Schizosaccharomyces pombe: one gene and its partners. The gene in region 4 interacts genetically with the main gene of each other region. Each region holds a gene or a part of one and is shown on either strand. Other genes may lie near its edges.

Region 1 (4,255 bases), 250 kb from region 4:
ACAAAATCTTCTAACAGCTAAAAGTGTTAAAGAGCCAGAACATTTGTTTAGCATAAGGTACAGTAGCTTCTGAAATCTCAAAAATTAAAGATGTTTGATCTTTTTTCCTGATAAAGTAGTCAATAATATATAGATATTAATACCTGGATTGAAACGTATATTTTGTGGATGGAAAGTTAAGTGGGTATTAAACGCTTTGATAATGATCTCGTATTTTCATTCCTCAAAAGAAATTTAATTGCTAATATTTTAAACTTTTACTTCTGGTTATACTACTATAAGAATGGATTATACAAACTTAAGGAAGAGGTGTGGAAAAATTTTACTCACAATGAGCTTAATATCTAATAAAATTGTAACTGATTTAAGAGTGTAACCGTATACTGGGCTATTAGATAACAAAATGCAATCGTTATATATATTAAGCCTTACTCAGATTTAAATGCTTACTACATCTTTACTTTCAAAGCCACATACATGAAAGTGGAAACGCCGACATAAGTGCAGCCGATGTGATATTCAAACCACATAAAAAAGGAAAGTAGTACATTATATAAGCAGGTTTAAAGCTGTTTTTATTAAACTAAAACCTACTCTGAATAAAGTGAGATTTAAACTGTTGACACAATTTAAAATAAATAGTCAGTTGTACAAAAAAGCAACCAAATAGTGACCAAAAGTCCCACTTGCTAAATCTAGTGAATAAATAAAACAATGAAGACATATTCAATAGAAATTGATTTGATGTCGAAGAACAGGAATACTTTTTAAAACAAAACAAAAACAAGAAGACCATTATTTTTACTCATAGCTTTTGAAACCAAACAAAAAAACGAGGGACAAATAAATAAACAAAGTGGGTATTTAATTGCAAACCAAAGGCTTGCAAATATCGAAAAACACAGGGAAATACAGAGGTAAGGCTTATGATCAACAATATCGGGATTTACATTTGTAGTAAAGCACAGATTGAGCTTGAAAAATGTAACTTCCTAAGATAACAGGACAATGTCATCATTCAAATAAGCAAACATATTATTTTTGGAAAAATCTGAAGCTCGCACAATCCTAACGTTTTCTTCGAGGACAACGCCTCCGTGGCTTTGGCGAACGTCAAGGACTCGGGTTTGAATTTCATTAAGTAAGGCTTGACTTCGTGATCGTTCCACTGGGGAAACAATAATTGGGTTTGTTATTTCAATGTTTCTAGCACGATATAATTGTACTTTGATGACTAGCATGTATTGTACAGAGTAAAGATCAGAGGTGGTCGTGAATCCAGTGATATTTGCATCTTCAAAATCAATGTCGGGGAAAGGTTTAGAAAGGCTTTTCGATAAACCTTCCGATGTAAGTTTCATATCATCCAAATCTTCTTCGTAACGTAATACTTTCTTTTTACGAACTATTGGGCTTGAAGAAGAGGGATGTATGAACGTGATGTATTCAACCAAGGAAAGAGAAAGTTGCTGTACTCGTATTTTAGAACCATTATTAGGCATGATGGAAACGAAGACGGAGACGAGATCCGAAGGTCCAATACACAGTTTGGGTATTGATACCTCTACTACAACACGACCATCGCTACTCACTTGCCGAATATTAGTAGGGGAATTATACATCCCCCAAGAAGATAGATTATCATACCTGCTGAGTGACACTGGTACAGTGGTAGTAATATCCGGTACCCCTAGTAAACTCATGTGAGCACGTAGTTCATATTTCGTGGAGCATATTGTACCAGACCGATTCAATTCAAAAGTCGATGGAATTTCTGAATTTTCGGGAAACGGGATTTCAAAGGGAAGGTCCATTGACCATACCCTATGAGTAGCGTAAGGATCTGAAGAAGAAGAGAGTATAGGAGTTTGGTCACCAAAAGGAGTGATAGATGTGTCATTAGAGGAAGATGTGGTGGATACTGATCTAAACGGAGTGTAAGGAGGTTGATATACCGAAGATCCAGAGGCATTAGGAAGATGAGGTGGAGGGATAGGTGGAGTAGTACGGTTATGAGTATGAACAGAAGGATTATCCTGATCAGACGCATAAGAATCTACTATCCAATCGCTAGTAAGGGAGGGTGGAGGTGATTTGATAGACAAATCGCTGATAGAATAATTATTATCATTAGGAGGTATGTTATTTTCAGGATGCTCGGAATGAAGTGGAAACAAAACCTGCCTTGCCAGACACTTATTATCTGATAAGTGATTACTTATACCCAAGGATGGTATTACCACTGATTCAATTTTCCATAATTCTAACGTTATTTGAACCAAAGCCAAAGGTTGGTGAATTTCTTTACTTCGAACTTGGACGATACCAACCAACCTTGGAGCTGAAGTTGGTATCCCATTAAATCCAGCTTGGAAATCCAAATGTGGTAACGGACGTATCTCCAAAGGAGAAAATTGCCGTATTAGCGTACACGGGGATGTCATGCTCTTACATTTAGTGAGTTCCTCTGGCTTGGTGCTGGTTATGGGAAGTTGAATCTACCAAATGGTAGACAGGTTGGTTCAGTGCAGCAATGTCAGATCTAGATAGCTAAATAAAATCTTTTAAGCACTCGCTTAAACACTGCTAAGTGACTTTTTATAGCAATGAAATTAATAATATTTTATTATATAAAAATCTAATTTTAGGCCAAAAAATGTACTTTTGTTTCCATTCCATAGAATTAAAATCAAAAGCCTACAATTGATAGCCAAGCATCTAAAGCTAGTATCTGTTGTAAAAAAGTTCCATTTTGATTACAATAGTAAAAACTAAAATGACTTTAATAGCCTAATTTTGAAATTGGTATTTTCAACTTAAAATTCACTTACGAAAGCCTAAAATATGTTTATTCTTACAGCAGAAGGCTTTTTTTTTGAATTTTTGAATTTTTGAAACCATAACACACGATTGATCGCAACATACATATACGAAATATAGAAGAGAGACTGAATTCAAACGAAAACAATATAGCAAGATATCAGATTATTGAGCAGCAGAAGAAAGGGAAATAAAGCAAGTAAATACTATTTTACTAAAAATCAAACGAATCTCTAAAAGAACAGATATTTCACGCATAGTTAACAGACAATGCATAACAAAAAATTCAAAATCGAGAAAAACAAGAATCAAGAGCAACTGGTAATGCTAATTTTTGATAGTTATATGAGCCGTAGTATGATAAAAAACCCCGGCGATAATTGAGGAAATTCATTGCTGATGTACGACTCTTTTCTATCTAGGAAATAATGATTGTTTGAAGGATAACCTGAATATAGGGCTTTCTGTTCATTCAAAGATCCCTTCAGGAAGTGTTAAATGGTTTGTATAAAACTAACTCACATTTTCCGATTTATCTTTTCATTTTCAGGGCATATATCAGAACTTAAAACAATTTACTAGTAGCGATACGCTACCACTTACTTATTAAACGCTTAAAAGAGTAACACAGTGTACTGTCATGAATGTATATTTTATAAAAGCAATATGATATTTAATTTACATTAATATACTTGTAAGCTTCTCACGGCTAAAAGTAGTGATAGCCCACATTGAAGTAGGATTTTAGTGTAATGAAATCAAACACAGTAGGCCCTAAAGATAAACGGACACTTACATGTTAAGCAACATAATTTAAAATCTTACAAGCAAAGCTAGCGGCTCGAAAGCCAAACATTGTAATATAAACACAAAAAGTAGTTTGTTTACAGTAAATACCGCAATACTCGTATAACGAGGTATTTTCACAACGTAAGCAAGAACGCGCTCATCCTTCCAGGTTGTTGTGTGTCACAGCCTCTCGCGATTCACCCTTTACAATTCACTCGTGAATGATAGGAAAACGCAATGCGTCAAAAAGGACGCGTCAGGATGATTGTATTACATATGAAGAGTATCAAAGGAAACGTAAAAAGACATTTTTGAACACGTTTGTTAATATTTGTTCTCGTACAGTTACTTATGCAAAACTTTTTTTGACAAAAACTCCCATTTCTGAATTGGATCGCATCGCTGGCGAGGCGATACCATCTAATAGTAATAGTACAAATTCAAAACTAGAGCCTTCTACTAAAGCCCCTGAATCTCGGTTTTCTCACATAAATTCCAAGACTGAACGTGGTTACGTGACGGTCGAATCTGATATGTCTTCTCACAATACTCTTGACAGAAATAGTAAACCTACCGTTTCTCATTCATATACAAATTCTAGTAAGGATGAAAAATTTTTGGATCCCATTGCTCTTCAAAATCTATT
Region 2 (4,687 bases), 1.4 Mb from region 4:
ATTAATGACTTTTTGTTCACTTATTTGTGACGTCGTTTTTCCCTTTTATTTTTCCCGTTAGCCTTTACTGGAATCAAGGTCGCCCGCCTTCTGCTTTATTTCATTGCTAGTAATGGATGCCATAGCGGCAATTGCCAAAATTTTCTCCTAAAAAAAACTGTTCCTTTTATATAGGATTTGCGCATCATGATTTGCTTTCCCAAAAAACAACGGAATCTGTACGACCTTTTTTGCAGGTATTTGTAAAGGCTTTCCCTTTCTATTGTAAAACTTCATTCGCGTCTCGAATATCATCTTACATATTTTTTCTGATTTATAAAAATATGCACATAATTTCATATTCGACCGCTTTGCATTTCATTATAAGACGCTTCTACTTGAAGAGAGCTATCCTTGTGCACGAATGTTGTTTAATTGTTGCAGGATACAAATTCATGACTGATGTATTTATTCATCTATTTTGTCTTGGTTAGTTAGTTTTGTGATTTCATTGGGATGTTCCCTAATAAAGGAAATTACTCTACCACAGATATACTCGTTCACTAGTAAAAGTAATATTTTTAAGTAATTAGCTGTTCTATTTATATATTTTTCTAGTTGTAGTACGGGTGTATATGCATGCATGTATGTATAACAAAATGTTTCAAGCTGTGAGACTATAAAGCGTGCAAGAAAAGGGAGCACAAAGATCGCCAAATATTATATGCAAAACAGTAAATGAAGGACTAATGCAAATGAGTATTTTTTATGGAAATTAAACGAGCAAACAGAGATTCGACAGTAGCCAGCAAAGCTCAAAAGATAGCAATAGCTAATTTATGTAAAAATGAGAAAACGCAATGAATGATTTGTATGCAAATGTTACCGTAAAAAGGCTCAATAAAACCAGCTGCTGCCAATGTATTAGTTATGGCGATTATCATCAGACTTATGGTCTATAGCAGCAGTTTCATTATAAGAATGATCATGGCGCTTTTTGTTAGAGGTTTGAGAGGATGAAGAGCTACTAACATTGAAAGAACCATTGTCATTAGATGGAACGGTTTGGGCTGGTTGCGGGATGTTGACTGTTGGGTTTGTTGGATGAGAGCGGCGTCGGACTTTCTGACGGAAGTTTAAAACTTCATCTAAAATGACACGGCGTAACTCATTTGCATCCTCAATGTATTCAAAGCTGAAATCAAAGACGGAATCACACACAGGTTCGTCAGAGGGATCATGCCAAACAGCTAAATAGGGATGTTCTAAAGCATCGTCAACCGAAATACGTCTGTTGGGGTCGAAAGCCAAGAGCTTAGCAAGCAGGTCAAGAGCCAAAGGATTGGCTTTAGGAAAATTGGTTTCAAAAGGAATAGGTCTTTGCTTTGGCAAGCTTCGAACATACTCCTGTGCACGGGAACTGCTTATATGAGACAGGGTTTCCTCATCAGGTGTGCCAAGTTGATGCAAAATTAAATTTAACTGATGAACAAAATCTTTTCCCTTAAACAAAGGGGTTCCACCTAATAGCTCTGCCAAAATGCAACCAACACTCCAAACATCAATACCTTTATGATAGCTGCTGAACGAAAGCATAATTTCCGGAGCTCTGTACCAGCGCGTTGCCACATACTCCGTCATAAAACCAGGATTTTCTTCTGGATTTTCAGAACATCCGCGAGCGAGGCCAAAATCGCAAATTTTCAGCTCACAATCAGCGTTAACTAAAAGATTACCTGGCTTTAAGTCACGATGAATAACGTTGGCAGAATGAATATACTTTAAACCACAAAGTATCTGGTAAATGAATGATTGAAAATGCGCATCCGTTAATGGCTGACCGGATTTAATAATAGCATTCAAATCGGCCTCCATCTATTATAATAGTTAGTAAGTAATTATACAAATATTTCCGTGACTAAAACAGACACCATATGTGGATCATCGCGTAACATACCAACTCTTCGTAAATGTAAACTTCATTAAAATTGTATGGATTTATAATGTCGAGATCGTAAATGCAAGTAATCTACCATGTTAGTAAAGTTTATAAAAAATAGGAAAGACATCACTATGCAAATGTAAGACAATGAGCAGTTCAAATTTTTTAATCAACCGAATTCCAAACATTATATCAAGATTTATAAAGGAAATACTTTTCAAGGATGATTAGAACTCATTTCTCATAGAAGACTTTTCATTGTATAAAAATTTGCATTTTCATCAAAATGCACCTCGTTAATACATCCCGGTGATGATGAGTAATCAATCACAGGAAGCCGTTTTTGCATAAAAGACTTACGTTACGATGATTACGAAAATGAATCAGCAGTTTTATCTCTCTCAAAGCTCTTTTTGTAAGAATGGATTTAGAAAACACATTCGTAATTTTTTTTATGGCTACAGCCTCTTGATCTTTGCTAGCCACGTTTCTTGCTGCACAAACAATGCCGTAAGCGCCTTGACCCAACTCCTTCACTACCTAAACTATGTTAGTTTTCCTAAAAGTTCAAGCAGATGCGATTTTCTGTCAAGTAAACAAAATGTTTTGCAAATGCAGCAGTTACCCAAATATCTCATACCTTAAAATTAGGCTCGACATACATCTCCTGGTTAAACACACGGTAAACACGATGTCGACGGTCCATCCTTGCGACTTATAGCATGCAACTTGAATTTTTAGCTGTTTGGCAAAAGGGATGTGGAAAAAACTACAGTACATCACTTGTAGTGATTAACGATGCCTTATATTTCACTATTTGAATGCAAGTCGGTTAGATTTGAAGACTATCAGATGGAATTTATGGTATTAAAGAATATGCATACAAATCTAATAAATATATGAGGAATACTAAAAGAAACTAGGTCCAGAGTTCAAGACTACCAAAAGCGTCAACAATAAGCACTATAGCGTACGGTTGGTACAAGAAGGCCATGTCAACGATGGGGTGCAGACGATTTTCGCTAGGTAGATTCTTTTGCTGTTGAAGGAATAGAAGAGGCCTTGACACTCCCGAAGACTTTGGGCGTACATTCTGTTGTTCAGAGACTTTTTGGTAGATAGGAGGTTTGTTATGTATTAAAGATAGTTTTGAACTCTCGGAGTCGTTGGTCACCGACGAACTAGCAGAGACATTGTGGGGATTCCAAATAAACGCATGAGGGCTTCCAGAAGCGGCAATGAGAAAAAGTGGCTCTCGTTCGACAGAACCTGCAGACGGACCTCTGTACCTATAGATTGGACTAGATATACAAGGCCAAGGAGAGTCGAATTTGGTATTCAAATCTCTTAATCCCATGTCATTGCCAGAATCTATATCAAACTTTTTTTTTTCATTAAAAGCATCAATTCCAACAGATACCGGAATCGGACTGGTGAGTGAAGAATTCCAGTTTTCTAAGAAAACCTCTTCGGTTTTCCCTTTTTCAACGTCAAAATTTACTATGCCTGAAGCGGATCTGTGACTCGCTGGAACTGCATCTTCAAGATTAACTTCTTTATTATCCAAGTTGGTAAGGACGCTAAAACTGATACTGACTGTAGTGCTTCCAAACGAGTTTAACATTCCGTGATTTTCTAAAGGATTGATGGGAATAGTAGAGTTAATTGGCTGAGTACTACTTGAACTTGTACTTGAGCTACCTGGAACCTTGGTAACGGGACTATTGTTATTTCCGGAAGTATACTCATTAACGTTGCTACGTTTTTTGGTAACATCTAAAAGAAGATGCATCTGATCAATCCTGGCTGGCATATGCCAAGAGCATGATAATGTCCCAAAGCGGAGGTCCCAAAGTAAGAGCCATCCTTTGGTAGTCCCAATTAAAGCCCAATTACAACCCTCAGAAACTACTACACTAGTAGCTGACCCACACTGTAATGGTAATTGGTCTGATGACAAAACCCTCATCATTCCCACGTCTAAGTATACGATGCGTGACCATTTTGTAACAACGACTAGACGGATACTCCCGTCGTGAAATGTAGAAGCTTCCATGGAGGTTACAGAATCACTGAAATCCAAATTGGGAATACGACCAGCCGAAATTAGAGTATGCCGCTGATTGTTAACGTCAAGTCTGTGAACTTCCACAGAGCCATCTTGAGTAACAGAAGCAAAAGCGTATGTATTACCTAGAAAGCATCCATTGACCACAGAAAATCTATTCCTCTCGCCATTACGTCGCGTATGCCCATAACTTAATCGGCATTCACATCTCATAGTTGAAATATGACGAACACTTTCAACTAATTGCCATGCTCTTACAACACCGTCAGATCCCAAGGTAACGAAAAAAGATGAATCTGGACTAACCAAAACTTTCTTCGTACCTCCATCAAGAAGGCTTCCTAAATATATCTGAGCAACTCGTGATCCTTCTGGATGCCATTCATGAGTCTGAACTATTTTATTCGCAGCCTTCGCAGACACCTTTGTTCTACGACGCAAAGGTATATTAGAAGCCCAGCTTGGTGAAACAGCAGCACCAACGTTAAGTGTCGAAGCCGCTGCTTCTGCATAAATTTTATTTAAATAATTTAAGACGCATGGATTAGTTCCAGTATACGATGATTTTTTTGCGCCATTTTGCCTCGTGGTAAGCTTTTTCAAATCGATATGAGTAGTAAATGATCTTTGGCTTCGAATACCGGCAACATTAGTTGTATCATTCGTTGAAACCCTAGAAGAGATCAACGGTGCGAGGC
Region 3 (7,520 bases), on a different chromosome or scaffold from region 4:
TGGGTGTTGAGGTCTACCCTTCCTATGGAACTTCAAAAGGATTCTCGCTTAATTGTAGATTCGGTATTGGATACTGCTTATTATGGATTTTTGATGACTGTGATCGCATTCATAGCCGTTTCTCATTGCAGTGTAGGACATTCAGAACTGCAATCTTTTTTGCAGGAACTTCTAACAGAGGAAGAAACAACCCCTTTGCATCTGGATATTACTCGCTCGTTATCTCTTTTAGTTCGCCAAGGGTATTTAGATAGAGTGAAAGATGATACCCATAACCAGTTTGTTTATTATATTGGATCCCGTGCAGTAACTGAAATTTCTATTGAAGGCTTGAAATCATTCGTTACAGAGTTCTTTCCGGATTCAGACATTGATATGGATGCTCTATTAACCGAATATCGGCAGGAGTATCAGAATCAATCTTCCTCAAGTGCAGCATAGATGACTCTTAGGTTTTTACATTATGCTCGTCTCATGTTAATGCTATTGTATACTTACTCCGCTACTACAAAAAAATTCGTAATATTATTTAAGTTCCTATATGCGTGCTAATATCTCGATATAAATTTAAGATGTATATTTGGTTATATAGCGGGAATATTATGTACAGCTGTTAAATAAAAAAAATAAAAAAATAGCTCGTAAACTTATAAGAGAAGTATATGTCAGTATATATAATATAATTAATAAAGGTTTCATCATTACAAAATCATTTAACTTCATGCGGCGCGCAACTCATCTTCAAGGCTTGCAATGCGATCTCGTAAAGCTCTCACATCTATTAACGAATCTTTGTTCACTTTTTCCAAAGAAGCAATTCGTTTTTGTAACTCCTGCTCACGTTTTTCATATTGTACTTGAACGGAAAACATTTTTGCCTTTTCGCTATTTATTTGATCCTTCAGAGCTTTCAATTCAATAGCATGAGCCAAGTTGACATGTTGCAAAGATTGGCCAGTAGGTTGAGGTGATACTTCGGCCCCTTTTAACTCATTAACTTGCTTCTCTAAGTTGTGCTTCTCAAGATTAAGACGGTCGTAGTCTCGTTTCAAGTTCTCGTATAACGCTTGATTTGCATTTCTTTGCTGTAAATCAAAAATTGTCTTTCGTTGTGGAATATTTTTCAAAACGGGTTCCGTAGTTTTGACAGCCGGTATATTATTCTCCTTTCCGGACGGTCTATGTTCTTTAAGGCGATGTATCTCTGCCTCTCGCTTCTTGCAGGAATCAAGAGCAGAATTCAGTTCCTTTCGAGTATCAACCAGCTTCATTTCTACTTCTGAAAGCTTACTACGTATACTTTCATGATCAGCAACTTTGTTCCTTAAAAGGGTGACTTCCGAACGGAGGCTTCTAGTTGTTTTTACTTCTTCTAGTACCTTTTGATACTCAACTTCAAGCTTTCGTTTACTCTCCAACTCTGATTTCAAAGAGCGTAATTCTTCGTTATCTCGACTAGCTATCAATGCTTTACGCTTTTCATCTTCAAAGGTCTTACCGAGTTGACTGTACTCGTGCATTAAGTTAGTAATCTTCCTCTCAAGTTCGGGAACCTTAGATGCTTTTGGAGAAAGTTCATTTACTTGCTTCGTCAAACTCGATACCTTATTAGAGAGATCTTTATTCTCGGAGCTCGCCAACGAAAGCTTTTCCTTGTAGGACGCCGATTGCCGAAGAAGACTTTCATGATTAAAGGTCAAATCACGATGTTTTTTCGAAAGTTCCTGAAAGTTTGTATCGACGTCTTTTAACCCCTCCAAGTCCAGCTGAAGTCCTTCATATTTTTTCTTGTAATTCTCCAAGTCGCTAACTTTAAGAAGTAAATTCTCATGGATTTCTTGCAATTCAATGTACTTTAAAGAAGCATCTGACAAATTTTGGCATTTCTCTTCCTTATTTTCAAGCTCTTTCGTTAACGATTTGATGTTATTTAAACATTCTTTAACTTTGGCTTCCAGTTCTTTATTTTTGGTAGCCTGGAGCTGATAAAGTTGATCTTTGTCATTCAAGGATTCTAGTTCTTTCTTCAATTTCGGAAGCTGTTTGACATCGGCTTCCAAATAATTAACCTTCTCTTCTAAGTTATTTATTGTTAACTCTTGCACTCCTTTCAAGACGCTTAACTCTTCTTTCTGCTGTTTTAAAATAGAGACGTCGCTTATAAGAGTAGAATTTTCACGTTCTAATTTTTTGACTCGTTTGAGACTCTCAGATAAAGAACCTTCCTGCTGAATACTCTTTTCATTCATCTTCTGATTTGTCAGTCTCATTTCTTGAATTTCAGTTTTATAGTCAGAAATATATTTAGTGAGTTTATCAAGTTCAGCATCCTTGGTAACGATAGTTTCCTGTAAACTTTTACATTGTTCATTGAACTCTGCTTTTTCTGATAAAACAGTTGCATTGTTCTCACGTAAAGACTCAAGTTCTCCCTTTGTATCTAGCAAATCCTTCTCTTCCAAACTCAGTTTTTCTTTCAGTTCGTTCTGTTCTGATAACAAAGTCTCAACCTTGGAAGTTTTTTCTAGTAACTCACTTTCTAATTCGTTATTAATCTGTTTCAATGACGCTGACTCTCGTTGCAAATTTTCATTTTGCTGTTTTGTTTCGCTAAACGAATCTTCTATGTTTGCAAGCCTTTCCTGTGTTCGACGTAATATTTCCTCCTTATCAAGGGCTATCGCACGTTCAGTAGTAAGCAAATTTTCAACAGCAGTTAAAGAATTGTTGGTCTCGACGAGATCACGCTCTACCTCAGATTTTGAATTCTGTTGTTTTTTCAGCTCGTACTTCAGCTCTATGATTTCAGCATCTCGCTTTTTAAGCTGCTTATCATTTTGAGTACTACTTAATAAGGGCCTTAGATTGAAAAATAACTTAGCCCAAGGAAAAGTTCTAAATTCATTGTACACTTGCAAATTTGCTTGTAGTAATTTGATGGCTTGTATGTCCTTCAATCGCTTTTGAAAAATTTTTCTTTGAAGAAAGCCACGGATCCTTGTTTGTAGCATAGTCATCAGTCTTTGTAAAGTCGCTACGCGCCTCTCCTCTAATTCTGCTAAAACACCTGCTTTGAAAAATATTTTTGAAACACCAATTCGATAAGATGCTTCGTCAATTTTCAACTCCTCCAAAATCATGACAGAAGCACGTCGAGATTCCACATAGGTACCTGTTGGTAAATGCGCCATTATCTCATATCTGACTCTAAAATCATTAAATGGTAAACGGTTAGGAAAACCAGCCCTTGTGATTCTGATTCCTTCCAAAACACCATTACATCGAAGTTGTCCTAAAACGAGGGGTCTATTAAAGGTGTGCATTTTCTTTTCTTCGTTTGGAACAATACAACGAATAAAGTGAGGTTGGGTCGAGTTAAATTGATTCATAAGCTGATTGAGCTGCTCTTTATGCCTTTGAGCAACAGTTCGAAAAAGGCCCTTTTTCGTCCTTCCCCTAACAGTTTTAGTCTCAGTTTCCTGATAATCAGAAAATAGTGTAGCGACATGCTTGTTAGTAGATTGCGCAAGCAACTTAGCAACGTTTTCATTCAAAGGATCGGTGTTCTTCTCCAGCCAACCTTCTGTACTGTAAGGAACATCAGCGGCATAATGAGTCAAAATAAAACCTTGATCGGCAAACTTAAAAGGTTTATATTTTAGCGACTTGTTCCTCCAAAGAGCATCAAGTTTAGAAGTAAACGTAGCATCAGTTGCTTTCGGCATAACACATTCTTCATCCAAACATGAAAGAATACCTATTGGGTTTGCTTTCTCGATTAAATCAATAGTCGGCTGTAAATCATGTCCAAAATCAATGAAATCCCATACAATTTCTTCTTTCATATATTCTTCTTGCTCCAATACGAACATGTGATGGTTAAAGAATTGTTGCAACTTTTCATTTGTGTAATTAATGCAAAGTTGTTCAAAACTGTTTTTCTCAAAGATTTCGAAACCGGCGATATCTAAAATACCAATAAAGTAGCTTTGGGCATTGGAATGGTTCAAGGAAGTGTTAAGTCGCTTTACCAGCCATCCAAAATTCCTTTCGTATATGGCTTTTGCTAATGCTTCAATGGACGAAATGACTTGAGTTTGACTTCGAGCGCTGATAACCCATTCATGGCCTGCTTTAATACGAGGTCGAACAAGATTTTGTGAAAATAACTCCGGAGACACACCAAGCAAATGACAGAGCTTGTCAATCTCATCAGGATTGAGAAGACGAGCTATACCAGAGCGATCAGCACCGACATCAATATTTCCCATATGTAGAATAATGGAAAGTATATTAAATAAATCAAAGTTCTCTTTATCGTCAAATCCAAGAGTTTTAAAAGCAGCTAAAAGAGTTTTAAACTCTTCTTTATCGTCAACTCCATCAATAATGTGAACCGAATCCTTCAAATATCGATAATCATTACAGTTATCGGTTAAAAGAAGTTTGTTCTTGAGAGCAGTATCAGCACCACTTAAAAGCTGATAAAAAACATGGTAGTTTCTTTCAAACTCGTTCTGATGAACAACGCGAGATTTTTCAAGAAGATACCATTCTATGGCGGCATTCGAAATTTCCCCACTCAAAGAAAACTCAACTTTAATGAATTTTCCAAAACGAGAAGAATTGTTGTTGCGTACGGTACGAGCATTACCAAATGATTCGAGCACAGGATTCGTTTTAATGATCTGCTCTTCAACCTGACTAGAGCCAACGGTAGTCGAGCTAGCAATTGCTGCAAGATATTGGATGATTCTTTTGGTATTCTCTGTTTTACCTGCGCCGGACTCACCAGTTACAAGAATCGATTGATTTTCCTTATTTTCTAAAAGGTTATTGTATGCTAAATCCGCGATTGCGAAGACATGAGGTAGCTTGCGCTCTTGTGTTTTATCTTTGTACAATTGAATGATGTCCTTCGTATAGATTGGTAGTCCACAATAAGGATTGACCGCAACGAGAAAGAGCCCAGAATAGGTATAAATTTGATCAGAGAGATATCTCTGTTCAAGATTGTATGTGACTGCAGGCTCGTTTAAGTATGTCAACTCAGCCATGTCATTGACTCTATCAAACTTGGCAGGATTCACCGGATCAATTTCATCCTCACCAACGATCTTCTCATCCCTGGAATTATTATACCGAACAACATATTTCTTGTCTGGCAGATCCTCTTTAATCCAAGCCTTGGTAAAGGCAGTCTCTGGGTCGGAAATCCAAACCCATCGTTTATCATCAATATCCTTCAGACTAGTTGCACCATCTTTTGCAGTTATTTTATTAGATATTACTTCTGTCATCGGGCTACTCTCTAAGACGGTTATTTACCGCCTTTCCTGAAAATAAACAATGCGGTGTACAATACCAAAACCTTGTAAAACAATAAGGATAGACCAAAAATCAAAGAGTGAAAAAATCCAAAAAGATAGCAATAGATATATCCGAAAAGAAGGATCAACAAATGCACAGAGAAAACGTTAAAGAACTATGTTGTTGGATACTTTTTGTACTCCCCGTTGAACGCACAGCAATTAATGATTTAAGCACTTGAACATTCGATTAACGCATGCGTTAATCGAACGTTTATGTACTTGATCATATTTGCGTTAAAACATTTAGTATAGGTTAAGGTAGCATCCAGAAACATTCCTATAACATAATGATTTTAATATCACAATTAAGAAGGTATATATATCTTTTAAAAGAAATAATATTAATAGATGGAGGTCATTATATACTCGGTCTTTTGCAATTAAAGTCCTGACAAATTTTTAAAGCTTTACTTTCATCAAGATTGAAGATATTAAGTAATAATTGAAAATACATTGTACTAATACTCAAAACATCAAATGAACGTAGGATTAGGGGTTACGGTTTAATCGAAATTTCATGTTCCCCCGTGCTTTTAGGTAAAATGATTGTATAAAAAACTCCCGCTATTACAGATATATGAGTAATTTGTGACTAGATACGCAAATAATATGTTCCTCATCGTACCGAACACAACTTTTAAAGCAAATAACTAAACTCGGCATTTATTTATCTACATTTTATATATAGCACTCTAATCATGCCTCTTACTGAATAATTATAAGAACACGCTCTAGCTAATAATCGCAATCAGTAATTATTATGTGCTTACTGACCATCTACAGCTATGGCCCTGGTAATAATCAATAAGTAAATATACAGAAATGTTAGTTGCTTCAGTTAGTGTTTGAAAGAAAGCATGGTGCTTCAATGTGTAACCACATCTTTAAACTTATGATCAAAACATGCAGAATACCATAACCAGTTACGTAAAAAAACAACAATGTTCTCTGTTTTCATCAACTGTAGTCGGCAAGTTTATGCAACTTGTACAATAAGCCAATTTTGGCTTAACACTGAACATAATGATAGTAGCGATCATTTTAAGTAATTAAAAAATGTTAATGCATGCAGATTTTAATATTCCTTTGTGATAAAATGGGTAGGGAAATGTAAAAAAAAAAAAAAAGAAGAAATAAAATTTCAAGGCTGCGATAAAATATGATTCGAAAGATGCAGGATGTTCCGTAAAACAAAATAAGATAAACGTTTCCGATATTCAAAAGTATGGATGAGTAAAAAAGACAATCATGGCAAGAAAACTTGTAATAAATATGATAATTATCAATCTTCAATTATGAAGGAGTTTGTTTTTGCCTTATTTAAAGCGAGTATCAAATGGCGATCGTGATACTGAGGATGAACCATGCCAAACATTATATATTTCCCATTGGCTAGCCAATCACTGTTACTAGGGTAGTATTTAATGTCATTTCCTTGGATAATTTGATTAAGTTTCCTAGTTCGCGTGTTCCATATTTCGACAAATTCATCATTAAATGCAATGAGATATCCATGACAGCTGGTAACAGAGTTCGGTTTGCCAATCCAATCAAACCAACACTCTTTATTAACCATACTACCCTCTCCATTGACAAACACGGCACCGAATTGATAGCAGCATGCAAATAAGCTAGGATCGTGGATGCGAAAGACGCCAAGCGGCTTACTGTTGTTGATTCGGTTCCGAAACAACGTATCATTAAGCACTGAAGGGCTTGGAAAACCAACTGCTAATTTAGGGTCCAAACGCAGAACGTCAATGCCTTTATTGTGACAAAGAGCAATTGAATACTTAAAGCAATCAATTGAATGACAGTTAGCCGTTACGTGAAAATCATCCAGAGTTCTGAAGGAAGTAACATCTTTTCTCTTGAAGGCATATGTTTTCTGATAGTTATGTCCTAAGCCGATCACTGGTTCACAGCAAATTATGGTTGTAGTATTACCGAGTCCCTCTTTATAAAAAACCAAAGTTCGCTCACGTTTAACAGAAGCCCCCTCAGACAATTTACCTATTTTAAAGAATGATACGGCATGCGGAGTTCCAATGACAACTGCAATTTTGGATTCGATCAGACCCATTTCAATAATACGACTTAATTTATGAGCATAAAGGGTTTTGTCACGTAGCTCTAATAGGATATCAA
Region 4 (4,855 bases):
AGTTAGTAAAGTGAAGTAAAAAAAAAAAGAATAATAAGCAATTATACCTTTAATCACTTTATCTGACAATTCTACATCGGTAAGATCACTATAAATGCTTTTTATGTAATTATTTAACAAATCGGACAGCGTGTCTGGACTCTGGATGATTGAAGCGTTTGTGTCTTGTAGTTCTAACAATTTAGCTCTTTTCCTTTCCTTTTGTTTTTGGCGTTGTTTTTTTCTTTTTTCACGTTTCGCTGAATCGTTGTTTTGAGAAGCAGTAAAATTTTCAGTTATTGTAGTAGGTTGTGCAGATTCTTCATCCGAAACTGAAATTTCTGAAACTAAATCTACCTGATAATCAAGTTGATCATCCAAAGCATCAGCGTCTGTTGTCGTGTAGCTCATAATTGCATGTTTTAAAATTTTGGTGTTAGGGATACGTTCAGTTCGTGGACCGTCGAATAGTACAGGAAAAATGTAAAAAAAAATATAAATCTATCGTTTACAAAAATATAGAGTATTTGAAGGTCTATATAGAAGAAAAAAAAATAAAAGGAATTCATTTGGTTTATAAAATCGTAGATAATTTCCATTATTACGTTATGAAGGTTGTCTAAACTATGGATTAAAATTGTGAACGGAATTGACAGTAAAGAAAAGAATGAATTTGTAGACAAACAAAAGTTTAGGATAAAAACAAGGTAAGGAAAGGGATAAAAAGGGGAAAGAGGTGGAAGCATACAAAATCCAAGAAAGAGAGAATAGTGTCAAGTGTGCTTTATTGACGCAAAGGAAAAAAATATAAAAAGAGAAAAAAAAGATGGTAAGCAGTAAATAATACAGAAAATGATCTTTTAATCGTAGTCAAAAATTGTGAAACAATAGTCGATAAGAATTTCGATAGTTCTAGAGAAACTGCTAATTTCTGGGATAGTAGCTTGCTTAATGATAGTAGGTCCCCAAATAATGGCCAAATTGTTTGTCGACATTTTGTTTACATCGCTGTTTTCTTTAATTTTAGCAAGATGTATGGTTAAATGACGAATGGTAGAGTAGTTGGCATCGGGAAGATCGTTGATCGCACGATGGACGGCATCTCTTCTTCTGGATTCGTCTTCAACGTTACCTGCGTCGATAAAGTCTCTTTGATGATTGTCGGGAATTAACGGTTCACGTAGTTCACGGAAAAAGATTTTTAGTAGATCAGCGACTGCATGAACGTCGTTTTCATAGTCCTCAGGTGTATGTAATTGTAAGAGAGGATTATTCTCAAATTGAGAACGTAACATGTTGACACGGGCGGAAGAGCTGGGAACACGGTAGATGCCCTGGAGGTTGAGACCAAAATTTTCGACTTGGGAAGTGCATTGCATTACGATGTTTGGAATGTTGGAATGTTCTCGTAGAATGATTGCGTCTAATCGAGCACCAAAGAGTAACGATTTCGTAGGAGAGGAAGGTTGAGGGGAGACAGAAGTTGGTCGGAAGGGAGATGCAGCACGGTTTGAGTTGATGCTAGAAGGCGGTGGTGCGACTTCTCGAGACGTTTGAATCGTTGTCGTCTGGATGGGAGGTAAAGTAGGAAGTAGTACGGGAGGTGATTGTTGGGCAACAGGGGGCTTGTTTTCTGCATTAGAAGCGAGTGGAGAAGAGGTACGAGGATTGGAAGAAGAGGATGAAGAAGAACCGTTTGTGTCATTGGCGGTACTAGGTTTTAGGGTAGAAGCCAAAGGAGAGGCTGAAGCGGGAGCAGTAGAGGGATTGGAAGTAGATGAGTTTGGGAAGGCAGGGGAAGCCACAGAAGGGTTGGGAAAAGTGGATGGAGCAGGATTAGTGTTTTGTAGGGGAGAGGGAATAGCAGCAGTAACCTTGATGGTGGGGTTGACGGGTGGATTGGTTTTTCCGGCAGAGGAACCAGTTCCGTAAGAGCTTGGAGGTTGAATGATTTTTGTTTTAGAAGCGTCGGTTGGATTTTTGTTATCTTCATGCTTGATGGAGGCGTGAAGGACGTATTGAACAAAATCGGTATTTGCATTTATATTATCCAAAGCATGTTGTAAACCACAGTTGGTAGGAGTGGGCTTTTGTGGACGGATTGTGAGACCGTTGAGCAGGGTGTTTGACTCGCAGAGCTTTGTGTACCGTAGATAGTTTGCAATGAGTGAGCTTTCAATTTCGCGTTGAAGGGAAAAGAATTGCTTTATGTAGTTTGGTCGGTGAATACACAAAAGTTGTTTTTGAACGTTTTGAGCGTTTTCAATCTTACTGTGCATATCTGATTCTGCATTTTCGGCCTTAAGGCGAGCTTCATCTTCGAGTTTGGTGAGCTGAGCATTAGATTTTGGTTTAAAAAAACCAACCTTCTTCTGGGAGTCTCCAGTGTTTTTGTTGTCGAGAGCGCGGTTGTACTCGGTTTCGGCACCCTTAAAGCGAGATTTGGATTTATCCATTTGCATAACGGCTTCTAAATATGCGTTTTCTTGTTTTTTCGCATATTCCTTGATGGATTTTCGTTTGCGTTCTGCGTTTTTGTGAAATTCGATGACTTGATCGGAAAATGCAGAAAGAGTTTTTTGAAGGGTTAAACTGTGATTGGCAAGTTGTTCATGAATTTCCATACTCGTAATGACAGAGGCGGAAAAAGATTGGGGAGAGTGGTGTTTGGATTGAAACGTCTCTAGGTAGGATTTAGCAAGTTTTTGTAAATTTTTTCCACTTTCTTCTTCGAGAATGGAACGCTTTTTAAAGAATCCGGCGAGTTCTTTGCAAGTGAGGAGGTAGTCTTTAATGCGATCATTTAGGATTGCTAGACCAAGTTCCGAATTGAGGATCGCTTCGACTTTTGGTTCTTTGAGAACTGCGAAATCATCAGAGGAAGTGGTATTTGGAGGCGATGTTGGTGGGGAAGCGGGAGTGGTAGAGGAGGAGGGAGCCGACAGCATTGAAGGAGTTGAGTGATGGGCGGGAGCAAGAGAAGTAAATAGAGTGAGAGAATAGAAAGAGTAAAAATAACAAAAGAAGCGCGGTAAACGCGAAAATATATAAAATCACTTGAGCAAGCAAAGAATGATAGAGGAAAGAAGGGTGAATTCTTTGTTTGTAAGGAATTGGTAGTGGGTGGTTGGTTTGAGTAGTATAGCGAGTATAGAGGATGTAAACGAGGAAAGGGTAAGGAGAGGACGGTAGAGGAAGAGATAAAGAGGATTAAGGAGGTATGAGTAGTTCAAATTACGGAGATGTAACGAAGCTAAAAGTTTGGAATTGGGAGGTTGAGTGTGGGGGATGAAAATGAGTTTAAGATAGGAAGGTAAAGGAAAAGAATAAAATACAAATTGCGTTGTATAACGTTTCTGCCATACCCTTTTTAAGTGGGATGAAGTATAGTGAGGGAGGGTTGAAAAGGAAGGAAGAGTTGACTGTGGTATTCGAGGTAAGTGTCATACCCTTTCCAAGTGGGAGGTAGAGATACGTGGGGGTAAAGACTGAGGTGAGTAGGAAGGCGGTAAGGGGAAGAAGGGTATAAGGAGAAAGAGTTGATTGTGTTATTTAAGGAAAAGTGTCATACCCTTTCTAAGTGGGGGATAGCAAAATAAGGAGACAGAAAGTTGGTTGCGTTATTCGAGTAAAATGCCATACCCTTTCCAAATGGGGGAGAGGATTAGGTGAATGAAAAGAACAAATAAGTAGGATTATTCTATTGCAAGTTGTTTGTAATACTTTTTTTGTCATGAACGAATATGTAAAAACAATAATAAATCCTTAGAGCCTACTGTTAATATAATAACATTATGTTTATTCTATGACTACAGGTTTGTCAACATGTTTTATTGCGACTGTTTAATTTTTGTATTTGTTATACCGATATATTTTTAATCAGTATTATATTTTCTTAAATAACTTAATAACGAACTTGACAATGAAACGTTCCTAATTCTCATTAGACGGGAATTCTTTAGGGGACCCCACATTAAGTGGGATGAGTGCTTGCTTTGTTGTAGTAGCTATGGTAACTATTTCTTTGTTTGGGTAGGAACAAAGAAAGAGAAAGGAGAGAAAATAGTGGGTTAGCCGTGAAAGGAAAAGAGAGTGAGAAGAAGGGTAGGAAAAGAAGAGAGAGTAGTTGAAGGAAAAATATTGGAAGAGGTAGTATTTTTCTGTATGCATATGCATATGCATTTGTATAGCATACAACCTTTAATTTAATAGCCATACAACCTAATAGCCAGAAACGCCTTCCCAATTTACTGAACCCTGCTTATATGTAGTTTATAATTGTTGTGTCTTTTTTTTACGTTTAAGTTGTAATTTGATGTTAGAATTTATTACAATGGATGCAAGTTTTAACTCAATTTGATCACATAGGATTTGAATTGTAAAAAGGTCTTCTGCTGACATTATTAGTATGTATTGTGCTTTAGATTAAATTATTGTGTTTTAGTGTATTTTGTTCCTTTGTTTTTGGGTTTCTTTGTTCTGTAAGTAGTTAAATACCCTCCACACTCTACACCTACCTTGCACTCACAACTACAATGGACTCACACCAAGAATTATCAGCGGGTTCCCCTATTTCCTACGACTTTTTAGATCCAGACTGGTGTTTTAAAAGATACCTTACAAAGGATGCTCTTCATTCAATTGAAACTGGCAAAGGTGCTGCTTACTTTGTTCCTGATGGCTTTACTCCTATACTCATTCCTAACTCACAAAGCTACCTGTTGGATGGGAATTCTGCACAACTGCCAAGACCTCAACCAATATCCTTCACATTGGATCAATGTAAAGTTCCCGGCTATATTTTGAAGAGTTTACGGAAAGACACTACGTCTACTGAACGTACTCCGAGACCCCCTAATGCTTTTATATTATACAG

What was found.
Region 1: mutations in rga7 (region 4) and art1 impair growth when combined (synthetic growth defect), as found in Schizosaccharomyces pombe (one study listed by BioGRID).
Region 2: of rga7 (region 4) and pmk1, changing one suppresses a phenotype caused by changing the other (phenotypic suppression), as found in Schizosaccharomyces pombe (one study listed by BioGRID).
Region 3: mutations in rga7 (region 4) and myo2 are lethal when combined (synthetic lethality), as found in Schizosaccharomyces pombe (2 studies listed by BioGRID, with this or other methods).

What each region holds. Positions count from the first base shown.
Region 1 is NC_003423.3:2,363,287-2,367,541, forward strand, and holds art1 (arrestin-related substrate adaptor for RhoGEF, Art1), read right to left. Parts: upstream 2,528-4,255; 5' UTR 2,445-2,527; coding exon 993-2,444; 3' UTR 529-992; downstream 1-528. Other genes in the region: PPR repeat-containing protein Ppr3, read right to left, coding at 1-54; SUMO deconjugating enzyme Ulp1, read left to right, coding at 3,831-4,255.
Region 2 is NC_003423.3:728,800-733,486, reverse strand, and holds pmk1 (MAP kinase Pmk1), read right to left. Parts: upstream 2,672-4,687; 5' UTR 2,628-2,671; coding exon 2,562-2,627; exon of another isoform or gene 2,462-2,561; coding exon 2,282-2,461; intron 2,009-2,281; coding exon 1,937-2,008; intron 1,855-1,936; coding exon 904-1,854; 3' UTR 535-903; downstream 1-534. Other genes in the region: serine/threonine protein kinase Vps15, read right to left, coding at 2,841-4,687. UniProt on the Schizosaccharomyces pombe protein: Regulates cell integrity and functions coordinately with the protein kinase C pathway (pck1 and pck2). Involved the regulation of wall architecture, cell shape, cytokinesis in exponential and stationary phase, and metabolism of ions.
Region 3 is NC_003421.2:1,232,731-1,240,250, forward strand, and holds myo2 (myosin II heavy chain myo2), read right to left. Parts: upstream 5,507-7,520; 5' UTR 5,301-5,506; coding exon 720-5,300; 3' UTR 501-719; downstream 1-500. Other genes in the region: Smc5-6 complex non-SMC MAGE family subunit Nse3, read left to right, coding at 1-441; RhoGEF for Rho1, Rgf3, read right to left, coding at 6,655-7,520. UniProt on the Schizosaccharomyces pombe protein: Required for cell division. It is a component of the cdc12 'spot', a structure thought to mark the site of septation. May work in conjunction with myo3.
Region 4 is NC_003423.3:2,109,968-2,114,822, forward strand, and holds rga7 (Rho-type GTPase-activating protein Rga7), read right to left. Parts: upstream 3,109-4,855; 5' UTR 2,928-3,108; coding exon 840-2,927; 3' UTR 518-839; downstream 1-517. Other genes in the region: cms1 (U3-containing 90S preribosome complex subunit), read right to left, coding at 48-390; mat1-Mi (M-specific transcription factor Mi), read right to left, coding at 4,252-4,380; mat1-Mc (M-specific transcription factor Mc), read left to right, coding at 4,515-4,855.